4 linked regions of the Caenorhabditis elegans genome follow. Changing the gene in region 2 together with the main gene of any one other region gives a genetic interaction. Each region holds a gene or a part of one and is shown on either strand. Other genes may lie near its edges. The genes, in order: F22B3.8, efl-1, pptr-2 and lin-40.

Region 1 (4,779 bases), on a different chromosome or scaffold from region 2:
TATCGTGATCTTCACAATGAAGCTCGTATTTCTATTTCAAAAACTTGACTCATTTTTAAGTAGTGATGAGATGCAATAACATTAAAATTTAGGTGCTTACGTAATAACCGGGCCAATCGGAAACAAGACGAAATCTAAAACGAACGCATTTGCAAAGTCGAGCTACTGGCTACTAGTGAAGATTTTTAATTTACATCGAGTTGAAAAATAAAGATAAAATAATAAAAATAAAGATGTTTATGATCCATGTTCTTGATTAGGATACATATTATAATACTTCGGAAATGACATACATACATAGGTATGCATACAAGAAGCAATATCGCTTCATTAACAAACTATCCTAGATCATAATTTAAAGAAAAATGTTACACTTTCAGTAATTGGACTTTGTCTCAATTTTTCTCTATTTAATGTATCCTGGCATACAAAGCGTATTATAGAAAAACCGTTTCCGAAAAATTTTAGTTTTTCAGATATTTCGAAAACAATTCGATTTTTGCAAAAATATATTAACATTTTGACCATTTTCCTTTTTTTTCAGAGAAAACATTTCATGTTTTTTCTCATCAAAATGAACAACTTTTGGTAATTTTTTAGTTTTTTTGTTAATTTTCTAAAAAAATTTTTCTTTAACTATAGAAAAAAAATAAAGAATATTGAAATAATTTTAGCGGTTTTGGAAAAAAAAAACATTATCTGCATCGAAATTCGACATAAAAAATATTTGCAAATAAAATTTTCAACTTATTCTTGATAACTTAAAAGCTTAATTACATGGACAATAATATGCAATTGATTTATAATTAAATTGAAAGTTAAAAATAAAAGAATAAAACAGTTAGAACAAATTCTACCATCATGACTTTTACAGAAACTTTGACACGAAAAAACAAAAAACCACAATAAAACGCTGTTCTCTATTATTTCCGCTTTCATCGAACGAAGAAGAAAATCATCCGACAATCGGCAATTCTATGCACGCAAAACATAAAAAGAACTGACAGAGACATGTGCAAAGAGATTTTTTTTAGGGGGAGATTTCTATTGCAATGAGAGAGATAATATCTTGTTTTATAGGTTGCATTTTTACTTTTTTCGGTTTGGTAAGATACACTCAGAACTCACTTTTCTGTTGCATTACTTGGGCTCTTCTTTTGATACATAACGACTCCAAAATTGAGCATTTGATTCTGAAACTATAGAAAAAAAAAAAGATTGGCTAGAAACAAAAATAAAAAGTTAGATTGGAGTTTTTGGAGGGAAACGTTGAGTAGGCGAAACGCCGGAGCTTATCAATCACTATGGGCAGTTGAGTGGAGAGAGATTTGTGATGTGAATAAAATTATAAATAAATTGAAAGTATTTCTGATCCTCTCACTCTCTCTTTCTTTCCTGTTCTCAACATTCACCTCTACTAATCCCCTTTTTCCAGCTCATCACAAGGTTGCTCTTCGTTTTCTGATTTTGTGTGCTCATGGATTACTGTAACATTTCTAGATTTAGATAATGGTAAAGTGTATGGTGAATGGTGACATATCCGAAAACATGAAACTTGAAAATATTAATCTAGTTAAATACTTCTGCCGTTGACATTTGAGACCAGCTATTATAATAATCTCCTTTTTTCCACTCTATAAGCAACAATTTTCAATATTTTGACATCCTGTGAATTGCAAAAAATGAATATATTTTCTAAGGGGTTCGATAGTAGACATGAATTTTTCAGACGTGCTCGCCTGCCTGCTTGCCGCTGATGAAAGGTTTGATAGGAAGATGCTAAATTATGGCAGGAGTAGGAAGTTGTTCCTAACTGTCGAGCAGTGACTTTGCACTTTGTTGTCAGGAAAATTTGGTTTAACCGTTAATCCTTCAGATGAAGTTTGATTCCTGGAAGTTTTCTGAATTTGAGTTGTATCACTGTCTGTATGTTTAAATACATAAACTCCCGTGAAAAAAATTGAAAAAAAAAACAAATACGACGAGGCAAACTTATTTATTTCCCAATATAATTTTACTCAAAATCGTCGTAAAATTTTTGCAATGAAGGTGAGTTGGAGTGCGGGAGTTCGAGCCTGCCTGTACCTGGCTACGCGTCTACCTGAAAATAAAATAAGACATCAGAAATTCTAGAATAAGTTTCCTGCAATGGGTCGCCTGTAGTATGATTATTTAAAAAAAAGACAAATTCGGTATTCCTGGTATAGTAAAATGTAATTTTCAATTTTCAGAAATCTGAGAAAAAAGAATGTAAGAGTGAAACGACCGAAAAGACTGAAAGGACAACAGATGGCAGCAGTATTTCAAACTCAGTTATGATCAATTTTCCGGACGACTCAATGTATCAAAATGTAGAAAAAACTAAAAGCGTTGGAAGGTGAGCAACTTTATCCCAAATATCCCAAAACACTTTTTAATTTCCAGAGTAACTAATGAAATGATTGACAATTATTTATTGAGATACCAATTTTTCCATGGTTTTGTGCTCCAAGAGCTACAACTGATCTTGTTGAAGACGAACGGAGACTTTCTCCTGAGATTGTCGCATCAACCAGAGAAGAATGCGAAGAAGCCGACGACTCCGGACAAAAGTGCCACTGATCCGATTCCACTGACTCGTGTCATTCTTGTTCTGTCCGTCAATATCAGTTTGTTTTATTTTTTGTTTTTTTAACTTCCTAGCAGCTTGGAAACTTATTCAATGAACTTCTCATAAGTTGTCAAGCTGTTGCGGGGAACTTGCCCTCACTGTTCGTTGAAAAACTCTAGATTTTACAATTATGTTCCCTATTCAGCACAAAAAACCGGCACCACACGAAGTTTCTATGGGGATCTGGAGGATGTGAAGAAAGAGAACATGGATATGCATTTGTTTATTGAAGAAACCGCCGGCAAATGGACCTCGTTTTATATTGAGCGGCGATTCAAGTTTCCGACTATTGATGAGCTTATCAACTACTATAAGGTCAACCCGATTTGCTATCACAATGTATGTTTGAGTGCTTTTCTAGCCATTTCCAGACGGTCTTTAATTTTCAGACACGTGTATTCTTGAAACGCCCTATCGTGCTACAAGACTGGGAGCTCCGGGCAGAAGGAATTGATATGACTCCAAAGAAGTTGGGAGAAGGTGCCTTTGGAATAGTCTACTTGGGACGATGGGCACAACCGTTTAGTGTGGATCAGAAGGAGTTTCATAAGTGGTGTGACGTGGCAGTCAAGACGGTGAAAAACGACGATTCGAGGGCGGCTCTTTTGGAAGTGATGCACGAAGCAAGGTTGCAGCTACAGTTGAGACATAAGGTGAGACGATAGATTGAAAATTTAGGCAGAGAAAAATAATTTCAGAATGTTCTCGCATTCCGCGGAGTTTTCCTCCTCAAGAAGCCGATTATGTTGGTCTCCGAGTTTTGTGAAAGTTAGTGGAGTGTTTAGAAAAATTATTTGAAAACCATTTTCCATATGGCTCATTGAAAGACTATCTGCAAAAGAGCAAAGTGAGCGTGGATGAGAAGCTCCGGTTTTGCCTTGGCTCGTCGTGTGGGCTCGAGTACATTCACTTCAAAGGGCTCATTCACCGTGACTTGGCGACTCGGAACATTTTGGTTTCAGCGGATAAGACGGTATTTTTTATATTTTAAAGTTTAACATCGTTTATAATCGAATAATTTAAGCCAAAGATTGCCGATTTCGGTTTGGCAAAGCACGCGAGCTCCTACAAAATGCGAAAAGCCACGAAGATCCCTGTCAGGTACCTTGCTCCAGAGACGTTGAGCTCATTCGTCTATTCCACCAAAACCGATGTCTACACGTTTGGTCTTGTCATCTGGGAAATATTTGCAAACGGACAGGAGCCATATATGAAAGCTCAACCACACCAAGAATGTGTTGCTCCAAAAAATACGCAACTCAGAGGACGTCATATTAAGGAGCTGGTTAGTTCTTTATCTTGATATTTGTTGTAATTGCTTGAAAAGTTCAGATCAGGAAGGAGCTGTTCGTGAAATTCAACCAAGAGGCACCAGTTGCTCTTCAACAATATGTGGCTGCAAAGCTGTTCGTAGTTGATGATAAGAAAAGACCCGATATGCCCGAGGTAGGTGTAACTTCTAATAGTAGTGCACCATATGATGTTTCAGGTATCAACGTTCCTGGGCGACATGTTGAAGGTGGACTTGACAAAGATGAGATACTCGTACAAGATGTAGTTACAAAAATTGATCTACTTGGTGTTTTAAGTTTTAAATAAATTATTTCGACTTGGCACAATATTGAAAACTTGCTCCAAAAAACATTTTTCGGTTTTCGAATAGTTAAAAAAAAAATTTTCTTGAGACTACCTTGAGACTGCCGGTCCGAACGGCAATTACCGCCCACCCCTGATACAAATTCTATACAATTGGGCTCTCAACGAACGACTAACATTTCTTTTTCAGCTTTTAAAAAATAACTGTCTCTGGTGTGAACTTTGATTTCTCGTTTTGCTCAAAACTAGAATGATCGAATTTTCCAGTTTTTCAATATTGAAAATTTAAGGGGAGTAGGTCTTTTAGCCATGACGCAAACTGCAATTTCAAACTTCAGTTTCATTTTTGCAATGTGAAGGTTTGCATCATTAAACACATCATTTCTAGAAACTAAACTTCAAAATACCTTGGGACACATTTGAACCACTGGATCATAATTATTTCTGTCTACTTCATTTTACGAATTTCTCGAATTGCTAGAAAATGACCATGAATAGCCATTAAGACTGTATCATATTTTCACACGAAATAC
Region 2 (7,704 bases):
TTCATTAAAATTGTTGGTAGCCAGCTGTATCAGAAATTCATCAACTTCAGGGTACTTCACCAAGCTCTTCAAGTCCTCCATCAACATTTCAACGTGGTTCCTTCCAGCATGTACTCGGCCACTGTTCTTATATTCAACTTGGCAGGCTCCATCAACTTGCTCATAGGTAACCCCGCCGTAGTTCTCATCGAGAATTAGTCTTGAAAATTTTTCATGAAAATTTACATGAACCGTCTTCAGATTTGGACCGAGGTTATCGATTATTGCTCGGAAGCTGTAGGACACTTTTCGAGCGATTAGCCTGAATTTTCAATGCTTTTTTTCTTTAAAAAAACAAGGAAAACTCACCTTTCCAAAGCTTCCAGATTATTCAAAATTTGTTCAATAAGTTCGATTGGCAAGTCGGAGAGTGATGACATTTTGAGAAATTTGAAGAAAAAATGAAGTGATTTCAACACAGTTCTCTGTGACTAGTGGCCTAGTTGGACAGCGCAGAGACGCAGGCGCACCAGCTGACTAGAGAGTATGAGAATCAGACACCGAAGGTGTTTCAGAACTGGCCGCCAACTTGAACCTGTAAAATGTAGGCACAGCTTGAACCCTTGGCTTTAAATAAAATGTAGTCTTAGTTTGAAACCATGTGTATTCAGACAGGCTTTTCACTGTCTTACTTCCAGAAATTTCAGGAGTCGCATACGAAATTTACGTAGCAGTCATCGAAATTTTAAACAGAAAGCTAAGACCTGCGGCTAAGCCTGAGACTAATTTTAGGCCAAATTTTTGAGCCTAAGCCTAACTATTAGTTAGACCTTCTTATGTATTTGGCGATGGCAAAACGGTAATATCGAAGATTTTCAATTATTTTTGCCATTTTTCAAACAGTTCATGTGTATTCGTATTAAAACATTGTAGGGGTCGAAACATGCGACATTTCTTTAAATTTCCTCAAAAGCTCGTATTCAAAATTTTGGTAAATTGCCAAAAATTTTTTTTTGAAGTTTTATTATGATATTTGATCTTTTTTACACTATTGGAGTAGTTTTTAACACTTTCCCCACTGACGCTACTCCACCTTTAATAACGTGGTGACGTCACAATCTTTTTGTAGATCAAACCGGCATGGGACAGCCTGACACCACGTGAAAATACCAAAGGAGGCGAAATTTTACAAATTCAATTTTTGTTAAAACTGATTTGAGCCCACAAAAACAAAAAAGTGATGGCTAAAAAAAAGTGATGGTTAATTTCACGACACTACTTGAATAACCCCATTTTATCTGAATTTACGGTTTTGCCGCCAAATACCTAACGGGGCCCAATTTTTTTGGGTTCTAACTTTTTTTGTCTTCAAATTCAAATTTCCCCTTATTATACATTCAAAAAACCACGTACTTCTTTCATTTTTATCTTCTCATTCAAGCGAAACTTTTTCCCGCGGAAATTTGAGTGCAAGCGCGCTCCACTGCACCTTTCTCGTCTGCGTCTCCACCTTTCCCATTGTCTCTAATCCGTGACGAAACCTCATCATTTCTCGCATTTTGGAGGGGAATTCAAATTGATTTCTCTTGGTTTTTCTCGTTTTTTCTTGATTTTTCTCGTTTTTCAGCTCATTTTTAACCAAAAAATCGGATTTTTCAACTAAAATTCCGCATTTCAGCCATGGAAGACTCGTACAACGACATGGAAGACCCCGGCTTCCGCCAATTATCTGACATGGAGCTTCAAAAAGCGCTGGAAATGACCAAACAGAGCTCGATAAAGAACAATTTGATGCTCGGGCTCGACAATGAGCTTGACTTTGATTTTGGTACAATATTTGTCGAATTTTAAGCCGAAAACCCCGAAATTTCCAGATTTCGACGAGGATGAGGACCTGGATCAACCACAAATGGGCACACGAGCCGATAAATCGTTGGGATTGTTGGCGAAACGATTTATTCGAATGATTCAGTACTCACCGTATGGAAGATGCGATTTGAACACTGTATTTTTGAAAAAAATCGTGAATTTCGCAATTTTCGTATTTTTTAGGCCGCCGAGGCGCTCAATGTCCGGCAAAAGCGACGAATCTACGATATTACGAATGTTCTCGAAGGAATTGGTCTTATTGAGAAAAGAAGCAAGAATATGATACAGTGGAAGTAAGAAAGTCGAATTTTCAGCAGGAAAAATGACGTTTTTCAATGAATCGGCGGAAAATCGTATTTTAACAAGAAAAATGACATGTTTAGAAAAAAAATCAATTTTGTGTCAAAATATTGATTTTTCAGCTCAAAAAGCTTAAAATGCAAGAAATTTCGGAAAATTTCAGATTTTTACGTGAAAAATCGCATTTTCAGCCAAAAAATGGCGCTTTCCGGCAAAATGGATGAAAATCACATTTTTTGGAATATAGCTCCTATTTCCTGTAAAAATCGATAAATTCGATTTCTAAAACACTAATTTTTGAGATTTTTCACCGAAACAAATCGAATTTTCATATGAAAATTTCATTTTTGACACAAAATCACTTTTTAAAGTTAAATTTTCAATTCAAAGCTCAATTTTGTGGCAAAATCCTTATTTTTCAGCTTAAAAACATGAAAATTGCTGAAAATTTCAGATTTTTACGTGGAAAATCGGGTTTTCAGCCAGAAAACACAAGAAAAGGTCATTTTTAACACAAAATTACATTTTCAAAGCCAATTTTTCTATAATAGCCTCAATTTCGCTCCAATTTCGGTGAAAATCTCTATTTTCCGGCTCAAAAACCGCTTTTTTGCACATTTTTCCCCGGAAAACTCAATTTTTTGTTTTCAGAGGCGGTGATTTTATGCTAAACGTGAAGGAAGGGAAACGACAATCGGCCACAACAGAAGAAGAAGATCGAATGGAACAATTAAAAGCTGAAATTGAGCAATTAAATAAGGAAGAAGAGCTCATTGAGCAACGTCAAAGATGGCTTCAGCAGGTAGCGAATTTCCAGAAAATTTGATGAAAAATTTGCTGAAAATCGATGAAAATTGAGCCAAATTTACGCAAAAATTGGCTGAAAAATGACCAAAAATTTCAGAAAAATTCAGCCGAAAATTGAGAATTATTTGCTGAAAGTCGCTAAAAATTTGATCAAAATTGAGCAAAAACTGGCTAATTTTGATAGAAAATTGAGCAAAAATCACTGGAAATAAGGCTGGAAATTGGAAAAAATTTAACCAAAAAGTCCTGAAAAAAATAGAAAAATTCAGTCGAAAATTCTGGAAAAATATGGCTGAACATCATTAAAAATTGAGCCGAAATTTAGAAATAATGGGGCTGAAAATCGCTGAAAAAAGCTGAAAATTTGACTTAACTTCCTGAAAAATTAGTCTGAAAATCGTTGAAAACTGCTGAAATTTTGCCAAAATTTCCTCCAATTTTCTGAAAAAAATATGGATGAAATTTCGAGAAAATCAAGATAAAAATGGTGCCAAAATGATGAAAATTTTGTAAAATAAATTCTGGAAATTTCGGCTAAAAATTGCTTGAAATTGGTCCAAAACTGCTGAAATTTGGCAGAAAATTTCTTAAAAATTCAGTCAAAACTTCTGGAAAATTCGCTGAAAAATGGTCAAAAATTCATTAAAATTGCGGACAATTTTTCTGAAAATTTATAGGAAATTTCAGGCAATCTGAGCCAAATTTTCCACAATTTTTTTTTGAAATTTTTGGTCAATTTTTCGACAGTTTTAAGCCAAAACCGCTGAAATTCTCAAATTTCAGAGCCTCCGAAACATGACAGAATCCGTGGAGAACAACAAGCTCAGCTATGTGCTCCGTTCACAGCTCGCCGAGATTCAAGGCTCAGATCTTACGATTGGAATTCAAACGAGAGTCGGCACACAAGTTCGGCTCAGTGATCCGGAGGTAGAGAAGAAAATGACGCGAAAATTGGAATTTTCAATGAAAATTTAATGGAAAAACCTGGAAAATTGTGGAAAATTCATATTTTTCTTGGAAAAAACGGGTACAAAACCCGATTTTAACTGAAAAAAACGCTGATTTTTGCTCAAAATTAATTCTTTTTAAGAATTTTCGATGAGAAAAATGAATTTTTTAATTTAAAATACATAAAAAACTAGAAGACTGTCCAAAAACCGAAATTTCTGTCAAAAAAGTGTAAAAACTTCTCCTCGTGGAGTACACGAGCTGCGTAAATCTACGCAATATTTTTCTGTGTTTTTTGTATGCAAATTTGTAAAAAAAATATCAAAAAAATAAATTTTTGGCTGAAAAACGGTGAAACATAATTTTAAACAATATTTAAATACAAATTATTTGTTCTAAAAATTTTTTAAAAATTCTTAAATTTCCCTGATTTTTAGCAAAAATAACGAAAATTCTTCAAAAAATTTGATTTTCTGCTAAAAAAAGTGTAAAAGCCTCCCCTCGGGGAGTACACGGGCTGCGTAAATCTACACAAATAATTTTTTTCAGCTAAAAATTGATAAAACGAAAAAATTAAATAAAAATGTTAAAAAAAAAGAAGAAACTTTTTCAATTTTTAGAAAAAAAAAAGAAAAAAAAAGCTCCTTTTTCCAAAAAAAAGCAGAATTTTTTTTTGTAAATTTCCCAAAATTTGGCGAGTTTTCATTTTTTTTTTGTTGTAAATTTGACGATTTTCGTAAAACTGTCGTAAAATACAAAAAAATAGACTTTTTTTCGAAATATTTTGTTAAAAATCAGAAAAAAAATTTTTTTTAATTGATTTTAAAATTCACAGAATTTTTTTCGATAAATTTCAGAAAATTCCTGAAAAAACTGAAAAAGATTTTCAAAAAAAAAAACGCAATTTTCGCTCTATTTGGCTCTAAAAAACAAGACAATTAAACAAAAATCAGAATAAAAATTTTAAAAAAATTGTTTATAAAATTTTTGATAAATTTTAGAAAATTTCGGAAAAATCTTCTTTTTTTTCAAAAAAAAAATCGAACATTTTCAATTTTTATTTTCCCCCATTTTTTCCAATGAAATTAAAATTGCAGCAAGTCGATTTTTGATCGAAAAAAAGCATTATTTCTATGTGAAATGCATAAAAACCTATTACGGGAACAATAAATCATGAGAATGCGTACTTGGTGCATTTTATTTGACGCGCGATATCTCTTAGCGAAAACTACATACAGTAAATGCTTAAATATCTATTGTTATTTGAGTTCTTACTGTAGTTTTCGCTAAGAGATATCGCGCGTCAAATAAAATGCACCAAGTACGCATTCTCATGATATATTGTTCCCGTAATAGAAGACTGCCCAAAAACTGAATCTTCTGTCAAAAAAGTGTAAAAGCTTGTCCTCGGGGACTACGAGCTGCGTAAATCTACACAATATTTTCCTGTTTTTTTTCTCAATTTTCGCTTTTTTTTTTGTATGCAAATTTGTAAAAAATATCAACAAAAATTTTTTTTTGGCTGAAGAACGACGAAAAATAATTTTAAACAATTTACAAATCATTTGTTCTAAAAAATTTTTTTTAAATCACACTTGTTTCTTAAATTTCCCTGATTTTTAGCAAAAATAACGAACATTCTTCAAAAAATTTGATTTTCTGCTGAAAAAGTGTAAAAGCCTCTCCTCGGGGAGTACACGAGCTGCGTAAATCTACACAAATAATTTTTTTTTTGGATAAAAAATTGATAAAACGAAAAAATTAAATAAAAACGTAAAAAAAAGAAGAAACATTTTCAATTTTTAGAAAAAAAAAAAAGGAAAAAAATGCTCTTTTTTTCCAAAAAAAAAGCAGAATTTTTTTGTAAATTTCCCAAAATTTGGCGAGTTTTCATTTTTTTTTTGTTGTAAATTTGACGATTTTCGTAAAACTGTCGTAAAATACAAAAAAATAGACTTTTTTTCAAAATATTTTGTTAAAAACACAAAATTTTGTAAAAAATCCGAACAAAAATTATTAAAAAATTCATAGAATTTTTTTTGATAAATTTCAAAAAATTCCTGAAAAAACTGAAAAAGATTTTCAAAAAAAAACGCAATTTTCGCTCTATTTGGCTCTAAAAAACAAGACAAATTAAAAAATATCAGAATAAAAATTTTTAAAAAAATTGTTTATAAAATTTTTGATAAATTTTAGAAAATTCCGGAAAAATCTTCTTTTTTTTCAAAAAAAAATTTTCAATTTTTATTTTCCCCCATTTTTTCCAATGAAATTTTAAAAAAATTGCAGAAAGTCGATTTTTGATCGAAAAAAAGCATTATTTCTATGTGAAATGCATAAAAACCTAGAAAACTGTCCAAAAACCGAAATTTCTGCCAAAAAAACTAAAAACTTCTCTTCGGGGACTACACAAGCTGCGTAAATCTACACAAAAAATTTTTGTGTTTTTTTTTTCTCAGTTTTCGCTTTTTTTGTATGCAAATTTGTAAAAAAGTATTTAAAAAATAAATTTTTGGCTGAAAAACGACGAAAAATAAATTCTAAAAATTTACAAATTATTTGTTCTAAAAGATTTTGAAAAAATTACACTTGTTTCTTAAATTCAGCAAAAGCAGAATTTTTTTGTAAATTTCGCACAATTTGGCGGTTTTTTAATGGAAATTTGACGATTTTCATAAAATTGTCGTAAAATACAAAAAAAATAGTTTTTTTTCAAAATATTTTGTTAAAAATCAGAAAAAAAATTTTTTTTAATTGATTTTAAAATTCACAGAATTTTTTTTCGATAAATTTCAGAAAATTCCTGAAAAAACTGAAAAAGATTTTCAAAAAAAAAAACGCAATTTTCGCTCTATTTGGCTCTAAAAAACAAGACAATTAAAAAAAAATCAGAATAAAAATTTTAAAAAAATTGTTTATAAAATTTTTGATAAATTTTAGAAAATTCCGGAAAAAATTTTTTTTTTCAACAAAAAATCGAAAATTTTCAATTTTTATTTTTTCCCCATTTTTTCCAATAAAAAAAATTGCAGCAAGTCGAGATACACGGTGGACCATCTTGGTGTTACCTGAAAGATCCCTCTGGACCCCTCCGAGCCGCCATCGTTTCCAACCATGAGCTACATGATTTTGTACAGAGAGAACGAGCAAAACGGCCTGGTGAAGAGCACGTTGACGCTGATGCTCCAGATGAAATGATGGATGATTCAAGATATCGGAATCGGCGGACGATCAATGATGATGAAATGTTTGGTTTTGAGCAGAAAGGTGCTGCTGAATTGCTGGAAATTTTGCTTATTTTTTAAAGCAGAATTTTGAGAAAAAATGGATTTTTTTCACTGAAAGTAGCTAAAAAATAGCTTAAAAATGAAGAATTTTGAAAAAAAAAATTGGAAAAATCATCATTTTTTCCAAGAAAACACCAAAAAAACTGGACTTTTATGGACGTTTTTTCGAAGCTAAAAAATCCAAAAAATTTACTTTTTCTGATAAAAAACATTTTCCTTTTGTTTTCTGCACCGTTTTCTAGAGTTTTTCGAATCGAAAAATAATTCTCAGATTTTTTCACATGAAAATTTGAAATTTAAGCGAAAAAAACATCAAAACTGTTTTTTAACAAAAAAAATTGAAAAAAAAAACCGGAAAACCTAGAAATCCGCCAAAAAATTTGAGAAAATTTTCACAAAAAAAAGCATAAACTGAATTACATAAAATTCTTTTAAAAATTACAGAAAAACTGGGAAAATTTGGGAAAATTACCTCTTCTTTTTAATTTTATTTTTCGCATTTTATGAACGAAAA
Region 3 (5,758 bases), 5.9 Mb from region 2:
CTATTGAAGACGGATGAGCATTATTTCCGCACGTAAGGGACTTTGGGATTTTACGCTGGTTCAATGCCATGCATATACTCACAATAGCCAATTCCTTTGTGCTCTTTGATTTTCAAAACAGAAATATGATGCCAATACTGGCGCCCAGACCCCGGGACAAGATTTCATTTCTTCAACTAGTTTCACCCTCCGTCATCACGTGTCAGTTTTTAACGATTTCTAACAAAAATGTATGTTTTTGTGTCTAGGAACGGCAATGTTGAATATTTTGTTTTTCTAGAGTCTTACTTGTTTCAGCTTCGATGAAACCCGTTTTTTTAAATATAATTGAAAAGTGGATAAAAATTGGTTCATTATAATTAGAGATAGTTTAAAACAATACCCTAAAAATCCCAACAGTTAGAAGGGACTTATTCATTAATTAGTTGCTGGCTAAGTTTTCTATTTATATAATTACTCTCGAAATTTATCAATCGATTCTTGGACTTTTTTGTTCCGCAGACGCCGGCGGAGTTTACAAGCGTACGATGTGGTTCAACTTTTAAAGCTTTATAAATGGGGCATGTATGAATATTTCGAATTCTAAATCTATAATATTAAAACACAAACGCATCTAAATTATTGGTGTCGATAAGTATTTTTCAAGCGGTGAATCATCTGTGTTCACACAAATAACCAGATAAAAATGAATAAAAACATTTTAAGCTTGTTTAGAAAATTAATTAGTTTAAAACTTGATTCAAGACGGCACGATGCTTCTGACCGTTTTTATCCTTTCTAATTTATTTTTTTTATCGTATTACTTGCAATGGCATCACTTGATCACTGAACCTTCAAGGAAAAATAGAATGTTAAATTCAGAAAAAGTCTTAAATCTAGAAAAAAAAAACTCGGTGCACAAAAGTACATCAATTTTTTGTCTGTGATCAGCTACAATTCATTGCATATTCGTATAGAATATATTAAAAAAAGTTCCTAGATTTATTACTCGTTTTTTCACCAGTTATTTCTGCTTTCTTACGAAAACGCCTTTTCTCATTTTGCTTGTCAAAAAACACGCGATATGTGAGCCACAACAGAATTCTAATTGCTTGTTTCTATGTTGGGGGCACCACACAATTTCACCTGTTTTTCAGCAATCCAGCACGACCGCTATTTTCTTTGCTTCATGGGTTCACTTTTGGCAAACCCATAAAATATTTCGTATACTTATATGTCAAGTATTTGTATCTTACGAGTAAGACTGCCAAATTCTTCCTGCTCTCTTTTTTTCATCAGAATCTGATCCTTGACATCGTCTACTCTTTTACTCTCAAAAGAGCAGCAGTAATTGGAAATTGAAGAGGATGAAGCTCGATCTTTAAGGAAAAAACGAGAGAAAAGAAGTGGGCTGGTTAATCGAAAATTGCGCTGAAAAAGCAGAAGACGAGCTGTAGGAAAAAACGACAAAGCGTGGGAAGAGGGACGGCGCCGTTTGCTCCGCGCTTTTTATTTTTCGTCTTCCGATTTCCGAAGTGACGATGGTTTTTAAGTAAAGACAGATGATTTTTCTCATTCATGTAGTGATGTCATTTTTTGTTAGTTAGAGCCACATGGAATTCCATGGTTTTGCATTCCATTAATTCCTCTCCTACAGTTAATCATACTGCTTGAGATTGCATTTATTACATAGGTTACTGTAGTTTTCTAAAAAACAGATTTGGGTGCATATGTGCATGTTATCATGTGTGTTCTCAGTTTTTCCCCGTTGCTTTGAAAACATAATATCTCTTGTCAACAACGTTTTTCCACTTTTGAAACAATGAAAAATGGTCACTTGCTCAGTTTGTTGTCCCTTGTATTCTCTTTTTAATTTTTTAAAGGTCTCTTCATACTTTTATTGAATTTTTCATGTTGTTAATTTCAGGCGGTCGGCTCCGCATCCGCAATGTTGAGATCAAAGAAGAAGGACAAGGAAAATGGGAAATCAGAGAAAAAGGACAAAGAGAAGGATAAGAAATCAATGAAAGATGACGGTGCTGGAAGCAGTAAGGCATCTACAATTCCTACGATCCGAACAGAAGATGTTGGAGGTAAATTAATGTTTTGATTATTCGGGAAAGATGATAACACAAAATTTTAAAAAAGTCAATTTCAATAAAATCTCACGTGAATCTATATTCTTCCACGGTTCTCCGAGAGCATAATTTTTCATCATTTCTTTCTAACCATCGAGTAATTTCAACCATCAACCAAAGATAGCAATGAATAAAATGCCACAGAGATCAAAGAAAAGACGACAGAAAACGAGTAAGTAGTCTAAATTATTTGAGAACATTTAGGAGTAAGAGTGGTTCCTATCGTAGAGTTTTGAGAATTCTTCGAAACGAGCGGAGATCGTTGTGAGACCCTGTGAAGACAATACAGCGAGCCTATAAAGTTTAGATTACGGCGTGTCGAATTTTATCATGAAAACATATACTATTCGGAAACAAAAACAACATGATTCGAGATTAAGGTTTTGATTAGAGTTTTCTTCAGTAAATAATTTTTGAAGCTGTCCTCCCTTTCAGCATCTTATAGTTCTCGAGGTAGGCAGGTTTTTGACCACTTGCATTTTTTTGAATAACTGAAATGGATGCAAAGTATAAATAAGTAGAAATGTATCGGATCTGAAATCAAATGCACTACATTTTATGAAGATATTGAGTGAAAATATTTATCAGTTAGATGGGGGAGGAACAAGCCATCCAACCAACAACAAGAAATCTGTGAGCCCTCAAGGCACACTATTGATGTCCAACTTTTCCACAAACTCCTTCAAACTCTTCTTCTTTTTGCCCCCCCCCCCCCATTTTCTTTATTTCTCACAGAAAAAACGACCTTCTTTCTTCTCTGCGCCTGTCTTGCTCCTTTAGATTTCTTTTCTATCATCAATTTACCCTACTCTTCTTCTATTTCTCGCGTTATTTTGTATCACGGAAGAAGGTATTAGAAATAATTCGAATAGGATAGTTGGAACGGATTAGGACTCCAGCTCAATTAGTTTGATTGTGTTTTTTTGGTTTGTTACGCCTTTCCTGTAGTCTTTTTGCAGCGCATACCAAAGAAAAAAACATTTTAGTGTTCTGGAGAAAATATTATTTTGTTCATAGTAGATATTTTCTTACAAACGCTTAGACATTTCGCTATTTCCCCAACTTCACGAAACAACTTTTGTAGTGTACATTTGAATTTGAATTTCCCGCGTAAATGCTCGACGAGGCCGCAGAAATCGAAAATGGGATAGTTAGTCCACCACTAGTGTACTCCTCTCGGATAAATTTTTTTTTGAATCACAATCATTGATTTTTCCATTTTCGGCCCTCATATTTATCATTTCTAGGAGATATGATTCCTGCAGATGCACCACCACCAACAAATATTGGCCGAACAAACACGTACGGAGGAGGTTAGTGTTTAAACGAAGACTAATTAACTATAGAGACAGATTTAATTTCAGGGCCAGTGATACCGCGAAGAGAGCGCCGCCAATCAAGTAGCATGTTCAACATTTCACAAAACAGAGAGCTGCAAAGACTTCCAGCTATCAAAGGTAATAATGTTTTTTTTAATTACCGTATTGATAAACTCGTTTTTAGATGCGGATCCGAGCGAGAGAGAAACACTGTTCATTCAAAAACTTCGACAATGCTGCGTTGTTTTTGACTTTGCCAATGATGCTCTCAGCGATTTAAAATTCAAAGAAGTCAAACGGGCAGCTCTAAATGAACTCGTCGACCACGTTTCCGGAGCTCCAAAAGGATCGCTATCTGATGCTGTCTATCCAGAAGCTATCGGCATGTTCTCCACTAATCTTTTCCGTCCTTTGAGCCCACCGACCAATCCAATTGGTGCTGAATTTGACCCCGATGAAGACGAACCAACATTAGAAGCTGCCTGGCCACATCTGCAGGTAATATTTATTTTCTGCTCTTATTTAAAGTAAATATTTTCAGCTCGTCTACGAGTTTTTCCTGAGATTCCTGGAGTGCCCCGATTTTCAATCTCAAGTTGCAAAACGTTACATTGATCAAAATTTCATTCTTCGTCTTCTCATGATTATGGACAGTGAAGATCCACGTGAACGTGACTTTCTGAAGACAACTTTACATCGAATTTATGGAAAGTTCCTCGGACATCGTGCTTACATTCGGAAGCAAATCAACAACATTTTCTACTCGTTCATCTACGAAACTGAGAGGCACAACGGGATTGCTGAATTACTCGAGATTCTAGGTAGCATTATCAATGGATTCGCTCTTCCCTTGAAAGAGGAACACAAAACTTTCTTGCTCCGAGTTCTTCTTCCGCTACACAAGGTCAAATCATTATCTGTATATCATCCTCAACTCGCGTACTGTGTCGTACAGTTCATTGAAAAAGACTCATCACTGACAGAGCCTGTAATCAGTGGGATGCTACGCTTCTGGCCAAAACAACATAGTCCCAAGGAAGTGATGTTCCTGAATGAATTGGAAGAAGTCCTCGATGTGATAGAGCCGAATGAGTTCCAAAAAATCATGACTCCATTGTTCTCACAAATTGCTCGCTGTGTCAGCAGTCCACACTTCCAAGTTGCCGAACGAGCTCTCTACTATTGGAATAATGAATATGTGATGTCATTAGTAGCGGACAATGCTCGTGTGATAATTCCAATAATGTTCCCTGTTCTTTTCAAAAACAGCAAGTCACATTGGAATAAAACGATTCATGGACTTATCTACAACGCCCTCAAGATGTTCATGGAAATGAATCAAAAACTGTTTGACGAGTGTTCCCAAGCTTATCAGAAAGATCGAGTTCAAGAAAAGACATTGAATGAAGAAAAAGAACGCATCTGGAACAATATTGAGAAACAGGCAATGGGAAACCCGCAATATGTTGAAGTTAAAGCACTATTTGCTCGATTTAATCCAGATGAAATCATCAGCTCGCGTCAGCAGAATGGAGTTGACGAGAATATGAAGACTTCAACTGTGCTTAGCAAGGATGAAATTCTGAAAAATGCTGTAGGAGTGGTAAGTTACAAAAACCTAGAAATATTTTTTTTTTGTACAATAACGAATCATTACAGAGCTCGATGAAAAACGATATGGATTTCGGACCCAACCACAAACAATCCGATTTCCCTCCAGATGAGCAAACGACGAGAGCTTTAGGCGAGTACAAGCGTCACGATCCATTTTTGAAGAAAGTGACTAGCACCGACGAACAGTGATGCAGAAGACTTCAACGGGTGCCAATTTCTCCATGTTGTGCCGGGTTTATTATACGATGATTCGACTTCCTTACCCAGTTTCCGTTCCTTTCTTAAAATATTGACCATTCCATGACCCTTATCACCGTTTTATTGCTCTCCAAAATTGCCCTTAATCACATCTATGTTTGCGTACCTGTAAATATTTCGAAACTTATTTCAGTTTTATCAATATGCACCATAAATTCCATCTCTCCTCACCATCATCGCAAATCCAAATGCGACTTTTCATTGTGTAATAATTTCCCCCATTTTGGTAGTGATTTGGATTTAGATGTTATAAATGAATCGAGAAGCCATGTGAAATACATTAAAATCTGCATAGGAATAATCATGGGAATATATATTAGGCAGAAGGTTTACGAGGGGTTTGGCTCATTTCATCCAAATCCTTCTTTATATGTTCTTTTTCGAATGCTAACCCCACTCTTTGCACATCAATATGCACTTATGTATGAAATACACGAAATGAGACGAAGG
Region 4 (4,837 bases), about 13 Mb from region 2:
AATTGCCATCGTGTTCTGTCGTCTCTTCGATCTGCACACTCTCTCGTTGTCCCACTCTCTGTCACTCTCTCACTCTCTCACTGTGGGGGCCTATAACTCGGCGATGTACTAAATTTGAATGTAGTGTATGCCGCCGCGTTTTTCTGCAATTTATATCGAAAGCGGTCGATATTTTCTCGATCGTCCCGACTTACAAGCCTATTTTGCCCTTTTCAGCCTTGTAGGACTGTTTTGAACTGGATTTTTTCAATTGCATTTCAAAAAAATAGGAAAATCTGAAATTTTGCCGATTTTCTAGCATTTTTAGAATTTTTTGCTACGTTTTCAGTAAGTTTTTATGATTTTTACGTCAAAATTGGCAATTTAGCTGAAATTCATAAATTTCGGCATAAAAATCATAAAAAAACAACGGGAAATTTATCAAAAAATACGAAAAATTCCTGAAAATCGGCAAATTTCCGATTTTGCCGGCAAAATTTTTGATTCCAAGCGGTTTTAAATGGGTTCACTAAATTCTGAGAATGCTGCACAACACATTTGACGAGCAAAATATCTCGTAGCGAAAACTACAGTAATTCTTTAAATGACTACTGTGCGCGCTGGTGTCGATTTACGGGCTTGATTTTCGTAAATCGACACAAGCACTACAGTAGTAATTTAAAGGATTACTGTAGTTTTCTTTTTCGCTACGAGATATTTTGCGCGTCAAATATGTTGTGCAATATGCATTCACTAGAATTTTGTGTTCCCGTAATGGTACCTTTAATAAGTCGGGGGAGCATCCTTCCTGCAGCCTCTTCTCTCTTTTCTTTATATCTCTCGCTCTCTCACTCGTCTCCATTCTGCCCGTCCGTCTGCGTCTCCGTGGTCTCAGTACTATTTCCGACGCTTTAACCATTCTTCCGAGTGACCCCTCCCCACCTATGTCTTCGTCTCTCCCTCTGCTGCTGCTGCTGCTGGACGTTCCTCTTGTTTCTGCGTCTCTCCATGTCTCTCGTTGTCTGAATCTATCCTTTTTTCTAGTTGTCACGGCGATTTATCCGAAAGAGAAGGACCGTTTTCTGGATTTTTTTTGAAATTTAATTTAATTTTTAAAAAACTAATTAATTTCCAATTTTAAAAAATCTATTTTGTTCTTTTTCAAAAAAAATTTTAATAGCGCAAAAAATGCGGATAATTTTTAATTATTTTTTCACTTTTCAGATGATATCGATTTTGTGCACTCAAAAATTATTCGAATTTCTCTATTTTCCGCTTAAAGCTAAAAAATTTCAAAAAATTAATGCTTTTTTTACCGAATTTAGAGTTTTCGCACTGTCTCCTCATTTTTAGTATTTTGGTTATTATCCGGACGCGAAATATTGCGCTTTTTGCTCCAAAAATACGATACCGGGTCTCGACACGACAATTTTTTGTTAAATTCGAACAGGTGTGCGCCTTTAAAGAGTACTATAATTTCAAATTTTCGTTTCCCCGGAATTTCAATCGATTATTCCTAGTTTTTCTGAATTTGAACAAATCGGTGAGAAAGCCTTCGAAAAATCAATAAGAAAAATTCCGCAGAAACGAAAAGTTTGAAATTACAGTACTCTTTAAAGGCGCGCACTTTTTCGCACCACATTTAACAAAAAATTGTCGCTTCGAGACCATTTTTAAAGCAGAAATCGCGAAATTTTGTGCTTTTTGGGCGAAAATGGAGAAATTTAAATAATTTTGATAGCAAAATAAAAACATTTTTTTAATGTAATTTCTCGAATTTTCGACTTTTCGACTAATTCGACTTTTCCCCAAAAAATCCTCCAATTTTTGCAGAGCTTTAACGGGTCACGATGAGCTCATCATCGTTGTCGTCAACATCAACTCGAGTCACGTACGCCGTCGGCGATTTTGTCTATTTCGACGACACGTCGGCCACCGACGCTCCATATCAGATCCGCAAAATCGAGGAGCTTGTCAAGGTTAGATTAGTTGGCTGGAAAAAAAGCCCCAAAAGCCTGAAAAAGCCCAAAATTTCTCAATTTTCAGACAGAAAAGGGCGGCGTGGATGCGCGATGCGTCGTCTACCTCCGACGACGTGACATTCCACAACATTTGCTGAAAATTGCCGATCAAGCGCAGAGGCGATTCGATAATTGTGAGCTTTTCCCCAGCTTACTTTATTTGAAAATATTAAAATTCAATTCAATTTTTTTCAGATTACGAAGTGGATAAGAAGAAGCCCGAGAATTTTACCACAAAAGGATTTATCGTTGTCAATGGAGCTTCTGAAGCTGCTCCAGAAGCTGCTCCAGAAGCCACCGAAGCTTCTGCGGAGACGTCTGAAACAAAAGTGAAGGAAGATACTGATGACGTGGCAGAGAAAATGGAAGAGGACGAAGAATGCCCGGCCCCGGTTGGGCAGGGAAGAACCAGCTCGACTGAGGAGCCATCGGCGTCGGATGCTCCAGCAGCGACCGCAAAGGACAAAAAAGAAGAAAAAGAAGCCAAGGAAAACGCGAAAAACCTCAAGGAGACTGCCGAAGCAGAAGCCACGAAGCTCATTGACTGGGGTGATGGAGGCCTTCCGCTCGGAGTCGACAAGCTCACCCCGGATCAGAGGCTGAAGCTCCGACAGCATGAGATCTTTATGACGAGGCAATCGGAGATCCTTCCAGCAGCGGCGATTCGTGGAAAGTGTCGAGTCGTTCTTCTGGGAGATGGTGAAGAGGCTCAGAACTACCTGCCTCTGGATGATACCTTCTATCATTCCCTTGTCTATGACCCGAATGCGCAGACTTTGCTGGCTGATAAGGGTGCTATTAGGGTTGGCGAGAAGTATCAGGCGGTGGTGGATGAGTGGATGGAGCCCGCCGATCGGGAGGCGAAGGAGGCGAAGGTGCTGGCCGAGAAGGTTAAGAAGGAGGAAGAGGAGGCAAAGTTGAAGGCTGAAGCCGAGGAGGACACTGAGAATGATGGGTTGACGATCGCCGAGGATGAGGAGATGCCGGAGCTGAAGAATGAGGAAAAGGAAGAGACCAAGGTGGAAGAGGAAGCTACCACCACCGATTCCGAAGGTGAAGTAGGTGAAGTCCTCGTCTGGCACCCGCACCACGCTCTCACCGACCGTGACATTGATCAGTACATGATTGTGGCCCGATCAGTCGGCCTATTCGCCCGAGCCATCGATGGAGCTTCCGCGCCGAAGCTTCCGACTCTTCAGCTAGCCGCCGCCTTCGCCTCCCGTGACGTCACCATCTTCCACGCCCACGCGATCCTTCATCAGGCCAACTATGATGTCGGGCAGGCTGTCAAGTACCTGGTCCCAGTGGCCTCTCGAGACACGTACCCGTGCCAGGTCGATGATTCAAGCGGCCTGCAGACTAAGACCCTTGGCGGACCGATTTTGTGTCGGGATCAGCTGGAAGAGTGGTCGACGCCCGAGATGAATCTGTTCGAGGATGCGCTGGATAAGGTGGGCAAGGATTTCAATGAGATCCGCGCCGAGTACCTTCCGTGGAAGTCGATTCGGGACATTGTCGAGTACTATTACCTTATGAAGGCCTCCAATCGATACACAGATCGCAAGAAGAACAAGCCATCGGCGGGTGGTGGAAGCTCGACGACGACGGACGAGAAGTTCACCAACATCTACATTCCGCCGTTCAACAAGCCGATCGCCGCCTCGATTCTTCCGTACAACACTAGCCAGACGACGCTGATGAACAACGACAATCCGTGTGAGAATTGCGGGACGCTGGACGCTCTCAACTGGTATCAGTGGGGAGGTGTCGGCGATAAGAAGGTTCTGTGCTCGACGTGTTGGATTCAGTGGAAGAAGTTCGCCGGGCTCAATCAGAAGCACGAGCTCGAGCGGTTCGACAAGACGCGGCCGCCACCGGTGGAGCCGGTAGCGCCGACGCCAGCGGCCTCAAATGGAACTCCAGCTTCTCAGAAGGCGGCTGCCACGGCGGCGGTGAACACGTTGACTCCACAACAACAGCAGCAGCAGCGCGCTGCCGCCGCCAACATGCTCATGACGCTGAACAGTGGTGATAAGCAGAATTTGTTGAATGTGGCAAAGGAGGCGCTGGCACGTGGCCAAATCACCCAGGAGCAATTTCTACAGCTACAGAAGAATTTCGCTCAGAAAATCCAGGCACAAATTCAACAACAGATTCAGCAGCAGCAACAGCGGCAGGCGCAAACGACGCCGCAAGTGGTCGCAACGCCCAGGGTAAGGATTGGTTGAAAATTGCACGAAAAATCAAAAAAAAAAATTGAAAAACTCAATTTTGGCCAAATTCCCACCAAAATGAGCTACGACCAATAAATGATTCGCTCCGCCCATTTTTCAACCAATCAGCGTCGTCGAATACCGCACATTCCTATGATTGGTTGGAAAATGGGTGGAGCTAATCGCTGATTGGTCGCAGGTCTAATTTCGGAGGAAACTCGGCCAAAATGGTAAAAAGCTCAATTTAGGCTTAATTCTCTTCAAAATGAGAACTGCGACCAATCAGCGATTCGCTCCGCCCAATTTCAAACCAACCAGCGCCGCGCATTCCTCTGATTGGTTGAAAAATGGGCGGAGCTAATCGCTGATTGGTCGCAGGTCTTATTTTGGAGGAAACTCGGCCAAAATGGTAAAAAGCTCAATATAGGCCTAATTCTCTTCAAAATGAGAACTGCGACCAATCAGCGATTCGCTCCGCCCAATTTCAAACCAACCAGCGCCGCACATTCCTCTGATTGGTTGAAAAATGGGCGGAGCTAATCGCTGATTGGTCGTAACTCTCATTATATAGAAAACTGAGCCAAAATCTTTAAAAAACTGCATTTTTTTCGTTTTTAAACCCAA

What was found.
Region 1: of efl-1 (region 2) and F22B3.8, changing one enhances a phenotype caused by changing the other (phenotypic enhancement), as found in Caenorhabditis elegans (one large-scale study listed by BioGRID).
Region 3: of efl-1 (region 2) and pptr-2, changing one enhances a phenotype caused by changing the other (phenotypic enhancement), as found in Caenorhabditis elegans (one large-scale study listed by BioGRID).
Region 4: of efl-1 (region 2) and lin-40, changing one enhances a phenotype caused by changing the other (phenotypic enhancement), as found in Caenorhabditis elegans (one large-scale study listed by BioGRID).

The regions. Positions count from the first base shown.
Region 1 is NC_003282.8:11,422,150-11,426,928, reverse strand, and holds F22B3.8 (Tyrosine-protein kinase), read left to right. Parts: upstream 1-1,998; 5' UTR 1,999-2,043; coding exon 2,044-2,049; intron 2,050-2,231; coding exon 2,232-2,377; intron 2,378-2,424; coding exon 2,425-2,648; intron 2,649-2,795; coding exon 2,796-2,989; intron 2,990-3,039; coding exon 3,040-3,303; intron 3,304-3,348; coding exon 3,349-3,418; intron 3,419-3,477; coding exon 3,478-3,623; intron 3,624-3,674; coding exon 3,675-3,935; intron 3,936-3,982; coding exon 3,983-4,096; intron 4,097-4,139; coding exon 4,140-4,208; 3' UTR 4,209-4,252; downstream 4,253-4,779. Other genes in the region: kin-4 (non-specific serine/threonine protein kinase), read right to left, coding at 1,129-1,187.
Region 2 is NC_003283.11:16,959,629-16,967,332, reverse strand, and holds the start of efl-1 (E2F/DP family winged-helix DNA-binding domain-containing protein), read left to right. Parts: upstream 1-1,657; 5' UTR 1,658-1,659; coding exon 1,660-1,807; intron 1,808-1,853; coding exon 1,854-1,984; intron 1,985-2,031; coding exon 2,032-2,141; intron 2,142-2,799; coding exon 2,800-2,950; intron 2,951-3,738; coding exon 3,739-3,882; intron 3,883-6,935; coding exon 6,936-7,170; intron 7,171-7,704. Other genes in the region: fbxa-90 (F-box domain-containing protein), read right to left, coding at 1-301, 349-419.
Region 3 is NC_003283.11:11,026,994-11,032,751, reverse strand, and holds pptr-2 (Serine/threonine protein phosphatase 2A regulatory subunit), read left to right. Parts: upstream 1-1,927; coding exon 1,928-2,072; intron 2,073-2,243; coding exon of another isoform or gene 2,244-2,289; intron 2,290-2,831; exon of another isoform or gene 2,832-2,947; intron 2,948-2,967; exon of another isoform or gene 2,968-3,108; intron 3,109-3,364; coding exon 3,365-3,430; intron 3,431-3,469; coding exon of another isoform or gene 3,470-3,481; coding exon 3,482-3,574; intron 3,575-3,620; coding exon 3,621-3,934; intron 3,935-3,977; coding exon 3,978-5,039; intron 5,040-5,095; coding exon 5,096-5,239; downstream 5,240-5,758.
Region 4 is NC_003283.11:3,703,183-3,708,019, forward strand, and holds the start of lin-40 (DIOX_N domain-containing protein), read left to right. Parts: upstream 1-1,812; 5' UTR 1,813-1,829; coding exon 1,830-1,958; intron 1,959-2,025; coding exon 2,026-2,134; intron 2,135-2,195; coding exon 2,196-4,213; intron 4,214-4,837.